4 linked regions of the Schizosaccharomyces pombe genome follow. The main gene of each other region encodes a partner of the protein of the gene in region 4 in a complex. Each region holds a gene or a part of one and is shown on either strand. Other genes may lie near its edges.

Region 1 (3,317 bases), 2.1 Mb from region 4:
TCATTGATTCAGTTCCATAAGCGACAGAATAGTAGATACCAAAAAGTAAGATAAAGCCATATTTATAGATCGGGTCTACTATTGAGAACACGAACTATACATCCTATACCGGATATTTCCACCACCTACAAAACCGTATTAGTGACCGAATAAAAATGTAAAGCATGAGATAAGCAATGCTAGAGCGTTGGGAAAAGCAATAAACTAAAAGTTACCTTTTCGTGCCAATTAAGTAATACAGACGAGTTGTAGGCTTGAGGATTCGCCAATCCACGATAAATGAAGTTTACAATATTATCAATTTCCTCCGTTGAACATTCTTTTACAAATGCGGGAATGTCAGCAGCTCGTATATTGCTTAATACATCAACAAAAGCATTCAAATATTGAGTCTAAAAAAGTTAAAATTCATTTACACCATAATAAAATGAAATCAAGAAGAATTGTAAATTTAATCAATAAATAAAAACGTAATTGATATAAACCGTCTTTAAGCAGTTTGTACAGTTTGCACATACCCTAACTTCTTGAACATCATTTCCATAAGGAACATATGAGAGTAAGGTTTTCAAACCTTGTAAGGCATTTCCTCTATTTTAATTAATAAAAAAATTGCTTCTTTTAAATAAACATACGTTTGAATGGCAGACCGGGCTTGAGGAATGAGTTGAGAGACGGCTGCTTGGACTTGCTCCGCCGTTTCGTTACGAATTGGAAATATATCTTGCTCTGTTAAAACAGGTTCTGTGATGGAGTCGACATCCAAAGTCCGAAACGTCATTTTATAACTCTATAACTGGTAAGGTAAAGAAAACGATGGAACAGGTTAAGTTTCAGCTGTGTGTAGCTCTAAAGAGGCATCATACAACGGTCGAACGCAAGTCTGTAACTGAAGTTATTATAATTCATAGAGTATATTAATTTAACCAATAAGTTAAGAAAATTCAAAAAAATATATTTATATTTTTTTAATCTTATAACTTTAACTTATAATTTTTGAGCGGAGCTATATAAGTCTGGTAACAGCATTACTAACTTCTTCAGTACTCCATAGACCTCTTTTGTGGATGTTTATTTTTTTTTATTTGTAAATAATCATCTCTACCTTTGGTCTTAGATGTAAAGTTCTGAATAACTTGTAGACAGAAATTGGTTACATATTTTACATTTCTGCCTATGGTGATTCAGAAGAAAATATGTTAGATACAGCCTAGTAATTAGTTGAATAAAGATTAAAAGTAATTTTTTTTTTGCTTCTATCTATTTTCAGTATGTATATTGATGTATGAGTTTATACTTCTATTCGAACAATAACTTTTAAGACTTATTTTGCTGACAGAACTATGTAGTTTCTTGTGTAAAGTTCAAAGTAAAACGAAGAGACACATATGTAACATCCTGGGATTAACAGATTTTTAATTAGTGCTCAAACCAGCCAGTTACATTGTTACGTAGTATTTGACTCTCCAGAAGTTAATTATGAATGTAATTCAGTTAACTTAATTCTCTTCAAGCTTTTAACAATTTGCTCTGGGATTATCATACCCAAAAGCCATATACTTTGCGACTTGGAAAATAATAAAAATGACAAGAGATAAATTAATAAAATTTGAGCTCATATTATGTCTATCTGCTTTTTTTTTTTAATACAGGAACAATGAAAATGAAGGTTTTAAATTAGCCTGTTAGCAATTCTTGCAACCGCCGTACGCATTAAACTCTTCACATCAACATTACAGTAGAAGTAAAAGAACTAATTCGGCCATTTTTCTCAATAATTCGGTATAAACCGATATTCAGATGCATAATTAATTACCATTCATCTTTGTTATAAAATATGCCTGTTCACGGGTAAAAAGCATACCGATTGACTATTTTGCTGATTGATTATAGAGTTATTTATTATTCATCGCCTTCAATGGCGACGTTCCTTTCTCCAGCACAGGATAATCTGGTTAGGACCTACTTTGCACAACATTTAAGTAAGCTGACACTGGTTTGGATTTTATTTCTTATGATTGATGATTTCAAGATCTAACTTTGAATTTCAGAAAAATGGGTAGTTCAGTATAAACTTTACAGAAATGCTGTCACTCCAAAAACTTTAGAATTTTTGAAGCAAAACATTAATCCCAGCATGCTGGCGTGTGTGGATGAAGCGACAATGATTGATGCAGAACCTGAACTTGAGGACATCATTGTGCGAACGAAATTATGGAATTTTCGGCAGTCCTTTACTATTGAAGGTTCAATATATGAAGTAGGGAGCTTTAAAGTGGCTATTGCCAACGTTTTACAAAAGTCCGTTTGGAAGGGTATACTTTTTCATGTAACTTACGATGGTACTGAGTCCGTCGATCTCGCACGCCCTATTATTCAAGAATTCTTTCTTAAATGCTTTTTACAAAATAATAAATCGGTAACCCCTGTCTATGAAAGCTTCTTTAACCAGCCTCGTCATTCTTTGGATTCAAAACTTCTACTACAGTTGTTTAAACAACGCATTGATACCGTTTCACAACGCACATAGAATAAAAAAGTATCAATTTAAATTTTTTCTGTAAATAAATTTCTATCTAACTAACTGTCAAAGTCTTGCTTTATTGTCAGCAGAAAGTTATGGCTCCCTTTCACATTTACAGATACCAATTATGTTTAATAATAAAATAGAAATGCAGGAGTTTGAATAACAACCCATTTTAAACTCGATGCATTTCACTGTACTCCAAAAAGTAATTATTCATTCAAAATTATTCAAATAAACTCTAGATGAGATTATGGAATCAGCATTAAAAGCTTATTAATCAACCTTTACTACCAAAACATTAAACGTCTAAGTTTCCAAAATACTATGCGCGCTTATAAAAGCATTGAATATGCTTTACTCTAAGGAATCTGTAACAGCACCCTTGGAGGCAGTGCTAACGTTGCGAGCATATTTTAAAAGGGTTCCTTGTTGGTACTTCAAAGGAGGTGCCTTCCAAACACTGCGGCGTCTCGCCATCTCCTTCTCATCAACCATCAAATCTAAAGTGTTCTTTACAGCATTGATTTCAATGACATCGCCGTCCTGAACAAGAGCAATAGGGCCTCCAACTTGTGCTTCGGGATCAACGTGTCCAATCAAAAATCCGTGAGAGCCACCACTGAAACGACCGTCAGTCAAAAGTGCAACATCCTTTCCAAGACCAGCTCCCATAATAGCACTTGAAGGCTTTAACATTTCCGGCATACCAGGTCCACCTTTTGGTCCCTCAAAACGAATAATGACGACAGTCTTCTCGCCCTTCTTGAACTCACCACGCTCTAAGGCAGCA
Region 2 (3,521 bases), on a different chromosome or scaffold from region 4:
TTATCAGGGAGGTCCTTAGGAATTACAAAAGGATCTTCTCCTCTATATTCTAATGTTAGAGGGGAATGTGTGGATATGGGAAAGCAAATAATTAAATTTGTTTTTGGTTTATATCTATCGATTGTTTCATAAAGTACGATTTTTTTACCTCAATCGTGTTGTAAGCGTGTAAATCTGTATAATTAAGAAATATGGGGTTCGAACGGTGTATTTTATGCAATTCAAGCAATGGTAATTGACATAGAAATGTATGACAAGTTATTTTTTTTGCATCAATCATGAATACTGAAATTACGTCTCTAAAGCCCAGTCGGGTATTTACGATTGATGACTGTAATGTATGGGCAGTAAGTGAAACAATCTGTTTAATTTGGATGATCCAATACCATTTTTTTATGCTGCGGTTCTTTGCAACAGTCCTGCGTAGATCAACTCATATTTTTACTATTTCGACAATTGTTTTACACTTCTCAAAATTGGGTATTATTTAGAAAATACTCTTTACGATGAAATGTATATGAAGAAAAATAACTTTGAAAATGTATTACTAAAATGAATAAAACAACTAGCAACATATAGAACATAAGTTAATATGATTCAGTTAACAACGTTAAGAATACATTAAACAGTAGATGAGAAAAAGAATTTAAGTAATTTGTCTCTTGAGAATCTAGTAGAATCACCGAGATTAAACTATTGAAGTTAAAAGCGACTTCTTAGGAATAAACCTGAGAAAACAAAGATGAATTTTAAAAACGAAACAACGCCATGTAATAAATAAGTTTTCTAGACCGCAAATTAAAGAGTAATTAAATCATTTGGTATTGTTTCCATGCTTTGAAACGATGAAAAATCTCTGAAAACAGCAGATAACTGAACCCGCAGAAAGAGCTTCAAATATTTATCGCTCTTCTGAGTACAATCATTGAGTAATGGAAAGCAGAATCGACAAGTTTCAGTAAAAGCAACAAGTTTAGTAAAATTCGGCAAGAGCATTAAGGATTTGACCTGCAGTTTTAAAGCAAACTTTCACAGCTTTCTAGGATTTGATGAGCAATTGATGGCTCATCAATTACTTCTTTCTACGACTTGGACTACGAGGTTGAGAGGAATCACGACTAACATTGCCCATTACAACGTCGTCTTCAAGGCCAAACACTTTAGGATTAAAACCTGGAATAATGCCTGGCTCTACAGAGAACACATGATGTAAAAATTCAATGTCAATAGGAACTTCTTCTCGAATAGGGTTTGTAAGCCATTGTTTTATAGTATTATCACGAAGAATTTCATTATAACCTGGCAAGTCTTGGATGTAAGCCTTGTACGAACGACGCATCTTTCTCTTGTTACCAAATTCATCGACACGTCCAACCTTTTTAGCAAGTTCCGTAAGACCATAAAGCTCTATTAAATTCTGATGGGCAGAAGGCCTCGTCGGTTGGTAGTCTACACTACCTACATAGTGGTATTCAGGAGCTTGCGCCATGCAAATAAATTGACCAATGTAACAATAAGAATATATTATTGCATTCAAATTTTTTAAATATATATGCAATGAATGCTTTACTCTCTAAGTTGCTTAGCTGGATAGTTTGGAGTAGTGGTTGGTGGTTTAAAGAAGCTATAGCATACTTGGCTAGTATAATTATTGAGTTACTTCCAAGGGTAATCGATTTAACATAAATTGTAATTAATAAATTGCATCAAAACATATATTGAAAAATTAAAATTAGTCGGTAGGTAAAATTAAAACTTTATTATGTGTCCATTCATCCAAAGTAGACTGAAGTTTTTCTTCTTGGTACAGAGCACGGACCGAATCAGATCCACCGATGCTATGACCACCAACGAAGATGTTGGGCATTGTAGATATATCGCTAATGGAAGAAAGCCAGTCTCTTAACTCTTGAGTATGCTCGTAGTCGGTGACTTCTACAACCACTGCTGGAGGATCCAATCTAAGGGTTTCTGTTAGAAGTTTTTTAGCTGCAGCACTATAAGGACATCCAGGACGACTAAAAATGATAACAGGGTTTTCAAGAAATACTTCAAAATCTGTTGAATCCTTAGCAGGTAATTTAGGAGCAGATGGCACTGAGACATCTGAAAGACCTAAAGGTCCTGCCTTTGCATTTTTCTCAGGTTCATTCAGTGGACTGAATATGAAGATATGAATAAGCAATAACGATATTATAAGAGATGTAATAAGAAAAATCTTTCTATTAGCCATAATGGGATGTAAGCTTTCCTTTCTCTTGGTAATTTGTATGAGCTGACGAAAAGCAGCTGATTAATCAAATTATTGTGATTAAAGCAAAATAAAATAATATAAAATGAATAAACTATTACAATTAAATTCCCTCACAGTTGGTTTAGATAGTTACCCAAAACCTGTGGTATGCAAACGGTAGGCTGGTCGCGGATAGGTGAATTTAGGATATTGCGATTGAGGATTGAAAAACTTCTTTAAAGGCCCAAAAATTACTAATTAAGCTACAAAGATGCCACCGTTAATATGAATCAAGCTCAGTCTATTTTAATGCTTCTACAACAAGGGCACGGAAGGAAAGGAACCTTACTTGCTCGCATTAAGGATGCCAAGCACTTTAGTCTTTCAGATTATTCTCAAAAGATGTAAATTTTTTTAAATAATCGTCAAAAAACGTAAAGGTAATGTACAACATTCTAATGCTATTTCATCCTCATGATTTAGCAACTCTCAAAAGCTAATGAACTACTTGTACACGTGTATCGTAGAATTGAAATGCGTTTTAACAAATCCGTTAAGTCTATAAAACATGGTTCGAAATTTGGTATAAAAACTACCTCAAATGAAGCGACCAATTATCCTAATAAAAAGAGGGGAGATAATGCTCTAAAAAATATGAAACGTGATAAAAAAATAAACCTAAGCCAATTTGATTTTAGGAAGAGCCAACATGACAGAGTCAAGAGCCATACCATAACCAGCTTGGTATCCTGTGCCAGAAGCACCGTAATCATGAACAAGGGGGACTGAGGTGCCGGGAACAACATCAAGCTCTACGCGGGCACCACCCTTTCGAGAAGGACGGAATCCGACACATTCTTGAATAATTTCAGCACCCTCCGGACCCTTGCCGTGGAACAATTCTGGCATCAAAGCCGATGTTCTCTTAAGGATATCCAAAGTGTCTTCAGGGTGAATTTCACGATCCCAGTTTCCTGGTTGCATGAAACCGCCGCAAATGACTCCACCATTTAAGGGACGAGGAATAATATAGGTATCAGAGTTCTTGCCATTCAAAATGCGAGTTTCTGTTACATGAGGAGCCTTAACCAAAACAACATGTCCACGAGTCGGATAAACGTCCGGGTCTTCAACGCCACCCAATTTGGAAGCCCAGAGACCAGTGCAATTAAATACTACTGAAGCTTCTGGAGTTTCTTCGACAGTCTCTTTGATGTGACTCAATTCTTTCTTTTCAAATTCGACGCCAGCTTCAATGAGCAGCTTGTACATATAATTCAAGTAATGA
Region 3 (5,653 bases), on a different chromosome or scaffold from region 4:
AATTATCAGCTCGTCCGATTGAAGAGGACGAAGTCAATAACTTTAGTATTTACGACATAGTACTTCCTTTACCTGGTCGTAATGTAATATACCCAAAAAATGAAACTTTCGATATATACAAGTCTGTCATGAATGAGGCATCACTTGATCCATTAAATATGTCTCGCAAAGACAGAGAACTTTCATTACCTGGTGATTATCGAAAACTTTTGGTGCGTCCTGAAAATATGGAGTTTAATTTCATAAAGTATGACAATATGGAACAACAACTGATTTTGACGGATAAGGATAGATTGGAGAACCGTTCTATTTCAGTGAGTTCTGAGGTTGGTAAGCACACCGCTGTTACGTTAAAATTTGTACTTCCATCTTCTGCTTACGCTACTATGGCTTTACGAGAAGCTTTAAGAACTGCAACTGCTAGTGGTGATCAACGTATGTTGATGCCAGCGGTACTTAAAGATTCAATATAAAATTTATTAGCTTAAAAGAACACAGCTTTGAATAAACTTGGGATTATGGCGATTATAATAGAAATTCATTTTACCTACGGAAGTTTTTTGCTTATTCATAAATGATTAAGCGTTAATTCGACGATCTCTAATTTACACGTTGGATTATATAAATCACATGTATCATCAATGTAACATTCACTTGTATACTTTAGAAAACGATTTTCATTTACCTCATTAACCAGACATTTTTTGCCGTATTTATATATACAATCACTAATCACTGCCACCGAAAGGAATGGACGGTGGAGGGGGTGAGGATTAAAAGCTTAATATGAGTTCATTTTTTTCGAGAGATCGCTAAAATTCTTTTTAGAATGGCTGTTAAATCAGCCGTTTTGTTCATCTTTATTAAGTGCATCTCGGGAGCGGCCTCAATCTGACCATTAAGCTCATCATCACCCAAGTCACCTTCCCAAACAGTATTAAGCCATGAACAAGGTTCCCATTGAGACGTCAAAGTCTGAGTTCCTTCCAAGTATCGGGAATCGGCAGATAAGTAGGATAAATCTTGGAGTATACATCCATGGCGATTTAAAAGAACTTGAATGCCATGATTTTTGGATAGGATAATTCTGTACTGACGCAGAGATCGAGCCAAAACAACGTAGCCCAATTCTTGAGCTACTAAAACACCTCTCGTTCTATCCATAATTACGCGTAATGGTTGAATAGCTGAGGGCCCATCAGAAAATGTATCCTGCAAAAACTGAGAAATTAGATGAAACGGACTATGTCGATTAAAAAAATGAAGGGTAAAAGTGTTGTCGTCATGAATTGTAGCCCTAAATTTCTCATCATCGAGATATGTAAAGTCCACATGCTTTAACGTGATACAATCTACATTGAATGCAGATGTTTTAGACAAAGCAACAAGTTTAAGTAATCCAATCCATGTTTTTTCGAAAGATGAAAAATTTTGCACACGAATGGTAATACGACCGGTTCTCCAATCTATGTAGCAGTTCTTTTCAGTTTCAGTCTCAGACTGATACGGCAATTTTCCTTTTATTCGGGAGTCAAAAATTAACTGCCCGTCATGCGCGCGAACGAAAACCACAGGAAGCATATCTTCATTAGACGATGGCATCATAATACATAAGCATCCTGTTTGGACGTATGTAGTAAAGTCATCTTCAATTAGGGCTTTTGGTGGAATAGGCAAATATTCAAAAGGCATACCACGAGCTTGGCAAGCAGTTTGAACATTGAATAAAAGTATTTGGACTTCCAATAGGTACGAAAGACGGCTAAAACTTTCAATACTTAAAGTACCTTTTGTAGTATGAACATCTTGGGTGTAGAGAGTTTGACCCGCAGCGTTCAACAATCTAACAGACCAAGAGTTGGATTCAACGTTGTACGCGAGTACCCATAGGGAATCGCCATCTTTTCTCCATTTACCTTTGGAGAATGTAAGATAAGGGAAAGAATAGTAACCTTGAACTGCATGCAACTCAGCACACTGGGCAACTTCTAATAGCTGCGTTTGTATACAAAAGAAATACAACCGATTCAAGATTTGGGCGGGAGGTTGCGTATTCAAAGCAATATTTTTTTCAGCAGCACGAAGATGCCTGGGAGGTGATAAAGGTGAAGCCGAACTCGACAGCACGAGCCTGCCGGTAACGCTGTTCACCTTGACAATTATTTCATTATCAAAGACATGAATTTTTAGACCACCACCAACATGTTCACTAAATATATTTGGGTGAAGCTCCTTACGGATTTGTTCCAGAATAAGTTGAGCGTGTTTTTGGGTAATTAATAATAGTAGATGCTGAGCATCCATATGATCATCTAATGGTACATGTTCAACAATGCCATCATGGTGCCATTCAACGAGTAATAAAAAATGATCATATTCACAACTGGATCTCTTAGAGCTAAGGGTACGCTCAAAGGCGGATATGGGTTGAGTATTTACAAATATATGAATATAATGACCAATTTTTCCGGGTTTTCCTTCTTTTTTCACATTTAATTGGGGCCAATAGTATAGACGTAGCCGTGGGGGCTTTTCATCATAGACACCGCGCAAATGCCCTAACCAACTTTCTCTGGATAGTTGAAAAGTTTGTTGTGACAATAAATTAAGGCGCTGATATAAACAAAATTTATGAAGGATATTATATATTAAAGGTAGGATGGGCTTTTGTAGAACGAATGCAGCAGCGATTTCTTCATTGAGATGCAATTCTATAAAAACCCGATATTTTGCGGGAGTAGAAGAAAAATCAGGAAGATGAAATTGAAAGTCAACAACAATCCACTGGAATGAAATACCGGTAGATTTAGGATCTTGGGAATTGGTTGTCAAAGACACTGAAAACTCATTGGGAACAGTAAATGTGCAACGACCATTAGCAATTGTGAAATGTTGAAATGGTGTCGGAATAATTTCATAAAGACTAAGACGAATTCTAATAAGCATGTTAAGAGCATGAAGGGTTTGAAGTATTTGTTTGGTACTTAGCGGTGATTCAGATAGCATGTATAATTTTGAAGTGGGAGCATTTGCTAGACGAAGACTCGTGCCAGTTGACAAAATATCTAATGCAGTAACTAAATCTGAGTTGCGTAGACGTGCAAATGACAACTGGTAACGAATATCTTGTAACACATGAACTAAATTCTGGAAGCAAAATTTTTGACCTTGAAGAAAGGCTACAACATCTATGCATCGATGAACTGAAGGAGATAGATGTACCCAACGCGCTAAAACTAGCAAACGCATAGTGAAAGCGCGCGAACGTAATAACCAATCTAAGATCTTTTTCTTTTTCTCGACATTTGACATAGAGGGTAGAACTTCGGCTAAAGACACCAATTCTTGTAACACATGATGACTAAAAGTTTCTACTATCTCAGGAAGAGGATAAAATCCTTCTGTAATGTGTGGAATCGCAGGCGGTTCCATCCTCAATTGGAGGAGTTAGGAATTTCGTGTAATAGCGCCTTTAATTAGCCGATCCTTTACCAAAACTAAATTTCGTAATAAACATAAGTTTTGTTCTTTTAAAAACCCTTAAAAAGGATTCTTTATATCTCTTTTACAGAAATCTTCGAGTAGCGTGCCAAAAGCAACTTCACACAGCTCCCGTGAAACTCTTCGATAACCTTCGTTACGCCATTCACTGAGATTGTTAAAACGCCTTAGGTTTATTCATTCAAAAAATTGGAATAATCAATAAATAAGCAATTTTAAATGGAATTAAATAATAATTGATCAATGATATTACTAAAATGGGAGATTTTGAATAAATTTGAGCTAGTATAAACATGCCCTGTTATGCGATAATCGCATAAAACATAGTTTGAAACTATGGATAATGAAGAATAACAAATGAGATGGAACCGTTCAAAAAGATTCTCGTAATTCTATAGTAGTTAAAAAGCCCCTTCTTTAAACTGAACGAAAATCATCATTAAAGCTGTTCAAACTTTGCTATCAATTTTAATCAGAGCTTCAGCGTGTCTCATTAAAATGATAATAAAACAGTAATTTAGAAGAGCTAAGCCGAAAAATAACATTTGTTTTGATCATTTAATTATTTTCTCCACGACCACAAGAAGCTGACAAAAAATTTTTAATATAGCAAAACAAAAGTAGAGCACTATTCCATTTGAATGATTCAAAGCTCTATTAACAATAAATTTGGACAAATGGAAGCATAACCTTCGGTTTTAATAGTAGTATAAGATATGGATTTCTTGAAATCCATTTTAACTTTTAATGAACTCCAACATCGGTCTCGTTGCTAAATTAATTCAATAGCACACGCACACTATAAAGGCCAGATTTTATCGCTAGAACACAAACGGTGGTTTAACAACGTCAATTCATAGCTACTACATTTCCAAGTAGTATTCCAATAAGAAAAAGATCATGTCGTATTGGGTGGAACTATGGGAATCAATTTTCACACCAGGTGTCACACCTGTATTGGCTAAGTCAGCACACGTAGCCTGTGGTGCACTTGTCGCTGTTTTTCTTGGACTTTATATAGGTACAAAAAGTATTCATTGTCTCATCTTATTTTTCCTGGCAATCTGTTTGTGGCTGTCGCTAACATGGTACGTTTATCCATGAGGAAGTTGAACATCTCGTTCACTTTTTTACGAGTAGTCCAGATCATTCATTAACAACTTTATAGGTTTTTGGTTGAGCTTGCACATGCTCGAGTTAATAACGATTTGCAGATGTCGTCTCAAAGTGCCAATAAAAATGACGACAACTCAAACAATCAAAATCCTTCTAATAACAAAGAGATGTCTGATAAAGAATCAGATTCCGCGACCACTACTCAGACTTTTTCTGTTCCTGAAGAGCTTTTGAGAGCTCGTACAACTGCCAATAATAGTTAGAAACTATAGGTCCAAAAAAAGAAGCAATAAGTTCAAGAGCACTGGTAAAAGTTCTCTTCTTTTAATAATAAACCTCAATCTAATATAAGTTTTCTTACCTGTCCGATTTGCTGGTCATTTAAAGATTCTAGTAGATCCGTATTACTGTATTTTTCCTGTTTCCAGCTCTCGTTTTCTAGTGCATCCGCATACCTCTCCCACGAGCTTAAAAATCCTACTAAATGCAAAGGATTTGTTACGTTCCGATGTCTTCGAAATTCCGCCTTTACATATTCATCTCCTAAAGCTCGTTCTTCTGCTCCTAGGTGATAGCGATGCGCTCTCAACACCCTTCGGTACAGAGGCAAAGGAGGTGTCAAAATATTCTTTTGTTTCATTAATTTCGTTATGTTATTCATTGGTATATGATTTTCTTTAGATACCGTCTTTTCAAAAATTGAATTCCTTTTAAGTTTCTTGTTGTGGTTGTGATGTGGAAGGCAGTTTGCTATTCATCGCATTCACACTAACAATTGCAAGGTCTTCTTCTACCAAATGTAAACAATACCACCAGAAGATATACTAGTAGGAAAAGTGAGTGTTCCTTCAATCATTTGTCTTGAAATCTTCAATTTTTAATTCCTTTTTCTTTTGAAAACATTACTTTGTGTTATCGGACTACGTAGAAAGGACTTGTCGATTTGGTATCGATTATTTGTAGTTGCTTGAATTCATTTATTTTAAGATTAAAGTATTTATCAGAAAAAATTAAAAGCATAATGAATGATACTGAT
Region 4 (3,852 bases):
CATAAATCTTGACCAAAAGCAAAATATTTGTATGACAATTATAAATATGCATGAAAATTTAATTCAAACGCAGTAAAAGCAATTGTCAACCGTAACATTCTTATCATTAGCATAAATGAGAGAAAAAGACAGACAAGTCAGAGATGGGAATAGTAGAGACCTTATTAAAGTAAAAAGTTAAAAAGGAAAATCATTACATGAAATCGATACCCGCGCCGAATTGCAGGCCTTTACGACCGATATCCTTTTCGGTAGTAGCGATTGGTAAGGTAAAGTTCAGCTCGAAACGCGCAGCGGGAGTTGCATAGACTAAACCTAAGCCTGTAGAGATACAAGGCTTAGAAAGTATTGATTTGTATGTGCCACATGGATTTGGAGAAGTCAAATTCGATAGCCCTCCAGCATTCGCAAACAACTGTAAGCGAAATGGTTTAGAAGCATCAACTTTTGGCAAAGGGAATAGCAAGCTCATGGAGAAAGCCATATATGCGGTCCCGCCTAAAGAATCCCTGCCATCTTTTGGACCTATACGGTCTTCTGAAAAACCACGAAGGCTAGTTGAACCGCCTAACATGAAACGATCACACAGACTGACTTGCTTCTTATTTAGACTATGCAATGCTCCAATCCGGGCGGACAAAGAAAGAGAAACAGACCTAGAAGAATTTAAAGCCACAGCTTTTTGACCCCAGAATTCTGATTTTAGAAAGCTCGCATCTCCTGGAAGAAATCCGAACCCAGCGAGCTCTAAAGTCTGCCTCACATAATCTCCCTTCGTGGGTATCATAAGATGATCGCGTGTATCGCGTGTATACGTATAGGAAAGAGATTGTTTTAATGAATCACCGGCCTCAAGTCGTACGCTTGGAGAAGCATATTCAGTGAGATGAGTAACTTGCCTCCACAATAAGTTTTGTGAAAGTAAATGCTCGCCAGACCACAGATCTTGATGCTGCAATGAAAGCGTAATTCCTTTAGTAAGTAAGTCATGGCTCGAAATAGATTTATTGTCTCTCAAGTTACTGTGGCCATTGAATCGTAAACGGGTTTTAGGATCTGCGTTTACTGGGGTCTCAAAGTTCACGGACATGGTAGACCGATTACGAGTTCCATATGAAACGTTACCAGAAAGAAGTTCAGCTCCTCCAAAAACATTTCTTGCAAGAACATTAGCATGTACATTGCCTTCAACGTTACCAACATCAGTGCCGGTTTCTACATATAAACGTGGTTTCTCTTTTACTTGAATGGTAACATCAAGATCATCATCTCCAGAAACAGAAGAGCTAGCACGATCTATTTTAATATTGGCAGTTTCATAAACGTTGAATGCCATCAAATTCCCAGTAGTTTCTTGAATAGCATTTAATGTTTCAAGCAAAGATCGACTTTTGGCCGGTTTCGACGTATCCAAACATGTTTTCAATACTTTGCGAATGAAACTTGGCCTAGTATGATGTGCACCAGTAACTCGAATGGAAGAAATACCCACTGGCAAAGTGCTATTTTCTGCCAACTGATTGATGATGGTTAGTATAAATTATGGTGAATTAAAAAAAAAATAGAGACGAAAATTAGATAATAAAACTTAACTTACAATTTCAGAAAGGCTCTTAAATGTTTCCTCAGCTGAAAGTTTGCTTTCTTCGTTCACGGCGGGAATGTCAGATGGAAAAGAAGTTGACTCAAATTGTTCGGTCATATTTTCAAATTTCCTATATTTTGAATATAATAACAATCTTCTTTCTCAATAGCACTGGGGTTGAATTATTTTTTAAAGGTTTTTAGATGAATGTAAGTTCGTTAATGACAGCCGACATCTTACCATCTACTATTTGGATGTGCCGATTTTTGAATTCTCTCCATTTACCATCAATATTTATTTAATATACGCATTGTTAATTTTTTTTTCATAATTATTTTAAGTTTGTTAAGGCTACCAGAAATGTCATTAGAAGAGCAGCGTACAAGAGATGAATTAAAGCACAAGCTATTGGATTTAAATCAGCTTCACGAACAGGTTTGTCTAATTTCAGAAGACATTTTATTAATTTTAGCTTGCTGAATTAAGAACTATTTGTCCATCCCTTTTAAAATTATTACATCCTGAAACCGGCACAAGTAAGTAATTGTTTAAATAACTAAATTCTTTAAGAAAAACGAGTTAAAGTTTACACTAAGGGAAAATGATATGATGATTATCTTTCATATTAAATTTAAATTTTGCTCGAGTACTAATTAATTAGGTCGGAAATTTGAGAAAAGTGCTCAAGAAGCGATTGAAAAAGTAAATTCCTTTTATACACATCTTAAATCCAGTCAAAGTATGCATGCAAATTATTTTTAGCTTAAATTTTTGCTAATTAACAGACGTTTTTGATTATGCTGAAAAGTCTTTACAAGCCGATTCCTCTAATTTGCTCCCTACTTATTTATACAATTCAGAAGATTTGTCTAATGATACCGAAAATAATGAAACAAAATCCATTAATGGGAAGTCTGCATTAGACTTAAAGGAGCCGCATCACAGTGAATTGCATGATAATGACAATTTCCAAAATTCGGATATAAACATAGAGTCTTTTAAAGGTGATATTGAGGCTTCAGGGTCTATTCTTACAACGCATGAAAACAAGTCTTTCACTTTGAAACTAGCAAACGAGCTAGAGTTTATTTTCTTTCATGATACTAGGGGGAAATTTAGTGTTTATTGTTCATCTAGCAAAGACGATGCTATTACTTTTTCAATTAACCGTAACAACAACTTCCTTGGAAATTTATGGTCTCTTATGGTATGTGTTTTTGAGGTTGTTAGACAAAACCTCTGCTAACCGTGTGTAGCCTAAAATACTTGATTATCAGCATCTTTATTCTAAGCCGTGTGACTTTTGTAAAAGTCTCATTTCTCCTGTGTACCTGGAGCTTCCTTCTGTTCGAAGAAACGCAAACTCAACAGTGAAGCCTACTTCTAAAGATATATTAGCGTTACATGCAGAATGCGTGCCGGCTCAGTCAGATTTGTGAAACACTAATTTTGATATTCAAATGAAATAAGACGTTCATAATTGCCATTTTTGCTTCGTTTTGAGCTTGAGTTACAATTATCACTTTCAAAGAAGTGCATTTCAATCACATGCAGATGTTGGAATAAACTCAATGTCTTCTGACTCCTTGATATTTATAATTTCCAAATCTTGTTGGACTACTCAAGCCTGTTCTACAAACTTCAAATACCTTAATATATCATGGTTTTGTATACTAAAAATTCAAAAGTACTACTCTTTTAGTGATATAGATACTGTAAATTGGGCTATGCGTAACTCAATGAATGAAATTAAAATTTTCCAAAGCATTTCTCAATTACAATGTAGAGAATGTATTACCTTATACTATAAAGTCCATTTCCCGTTAACCCTGATAAATGATGGATTCATCCATAGCAAAACAATCAAAACAAACCAAAAGATGAAAGACTTAAATTACAGATTCAAATCCGATTACTTTACGAACTAGTTTTTGAGTTAGAATCTTTTTGACCCCCATCATTATCATGGTCATGCTCTTCAAGTAATTCGAAAGAATTAGCAGAAGTAACCGCGACGTTAGATGGTGGTGCACGAACAGACTGTTCCCTTCTTAAGGCACTGTTTTGACGAGAAGGCGTTCTACTAACGCTTCCACCTTTAAGCATTGAACTCAAACTTGTGGGACCGTGAGAACCCTGAGTACCAGATTTGAGACCTCTTATACCTTGTCCAAGTCTAGCATAACCATCTTTGTTATTAGACCAATCACTAGAGCTAAATGGTGGATTGCTTCCTCGACCGCCCATCCGAGAATCACCACGATTCA

Evidence for each region.
Region 1: pmc3 (region 4) and med20 share a complex: the UniProt entries of both Schizosaccharomyces pombe proteins name them as parts of the mediator complex.
Region 2: pmc3 (region 4) and rox3 share a complex: the UniProt entries of both Schizosaccharomyces pombe proteins name them as parts of the mediator complex.
Region 3: pmc3 (region 4) and med14 share a complex: the UniProt entries of both Schizosaccharomyces pombe proteins name them as parts of the mediator complex.

The regions. Positions count from the first base shown.
Region 1 is NC_003424.3:2,348,490-2,351,806, forward strand, and holds med20 (mediator complex subunit Med20), read left to right. Parts: upstream 1-1,703; 5' UTR 1,704-1,837; coding exon 1,838-1,851; intron 1,852-1,893; coding exon 1,894-1,982; intron 1,983-2,051; coding exon 2,052-2,530; 3' UTR 2,531-2,755; downstream 2,756-3,317. Other genes in the region: ARP2/3 actin-organizing complex subunit Arc5, read right to left, coding at 63-125, 216-392, 519-591, 636-781; ilv3 (dihydroxy-acid dehydratase), read right to left, coding at 2,882-3,317. UniProt on the Schizosaccharomyces pombe protein: Component of the Mediator complex, a coactivator involved in the regulated transcription of nearly all RNA polymerase II-dependent genes.
Region 2 is NC_003421.2:1,733,695-1,737,215, forward strand, and holds rox3 (mediator complex subunit Med19), read right to left. Parts: upstream 1,619-3,521; 5' UTR 1,490-1,618; coding exon 1,073-1,489; 3' UTR 566-1,072; downstream 1-565. Other genes in the region: CIA machinery monothiol glutaredoxin Grx3, read right to left, coding at 1,733-2,233; dao1 (D-amino acid oxidase), read right to left, coding at 2,912-3,521. UniProt on the Schizosaccharomyces pombe protein: Component of the Mediator complex, a coactivator involved in the regulated transcription of nearly all RNA polymerase II-dependent genes.
Region 3 is NC_003423.3:1,995,497-2,001,149, forward strand, and holds med14 (mediator complex subunit Med14), read right to left. Parts: upstream 3,598-5,653; 5' UTR 3,433-3,597; coding exon 793-3,432; 3' UTR 510-792; downstream 1-509. Other genes in the region: pus7 (pseudouridine synthase), read left to right, coding at 1-473; V-ATPase assembly factor Pkr1, read left to right, coding at 4,402-4,589, 4,670-4,880; sdh7 (ACN9 family protein), read right to left, coding at 4,816-4,863, 4,979-5,278; anaphase-promoting complex cullin family subunit Apc2, read left to right, coding at 5,639-5,653. UniProt on the Schizosaccharomyces pombe protein: Component of the Mediator complex, a coactivator involved in the regulated transcription of nearly all RNA polymerase II-dependent genes.
Region 4 is NC_003424.3:4,488,591-4,492,442, forward strand, and holds pmc3 (mediator complex subunit Med27), read left to right. Parts: upstream 1-1,815; 5' UTR 1,816-1,945; coding exon 1,946-2,020; intron 2,021-2,057; coding exon 2,058-2,121; intron 2,122-2,246; coding exon 2,247-2,324; intron 2,325-2,370; coding exon 2,371-2,792; intron 2,793-2,841; coding exon 2,842-3,024; 3' UTR 3,025-3,352; downstream 3,353-3,852. Other genes in the region: sorting and assembly machinery complex subunit Sam50, read right to left, coding at 194-1,516, 1,598-1,702; tif471 (translation initiation factor eIF4G), read right to left, coding at 3,503-3,852. UniProt on the Schizosaccharomyces pombe protein: Component of the Mediator complex, a coactivator involved in the regulated transcription of nearly all RNA polymerase II-dependent genes.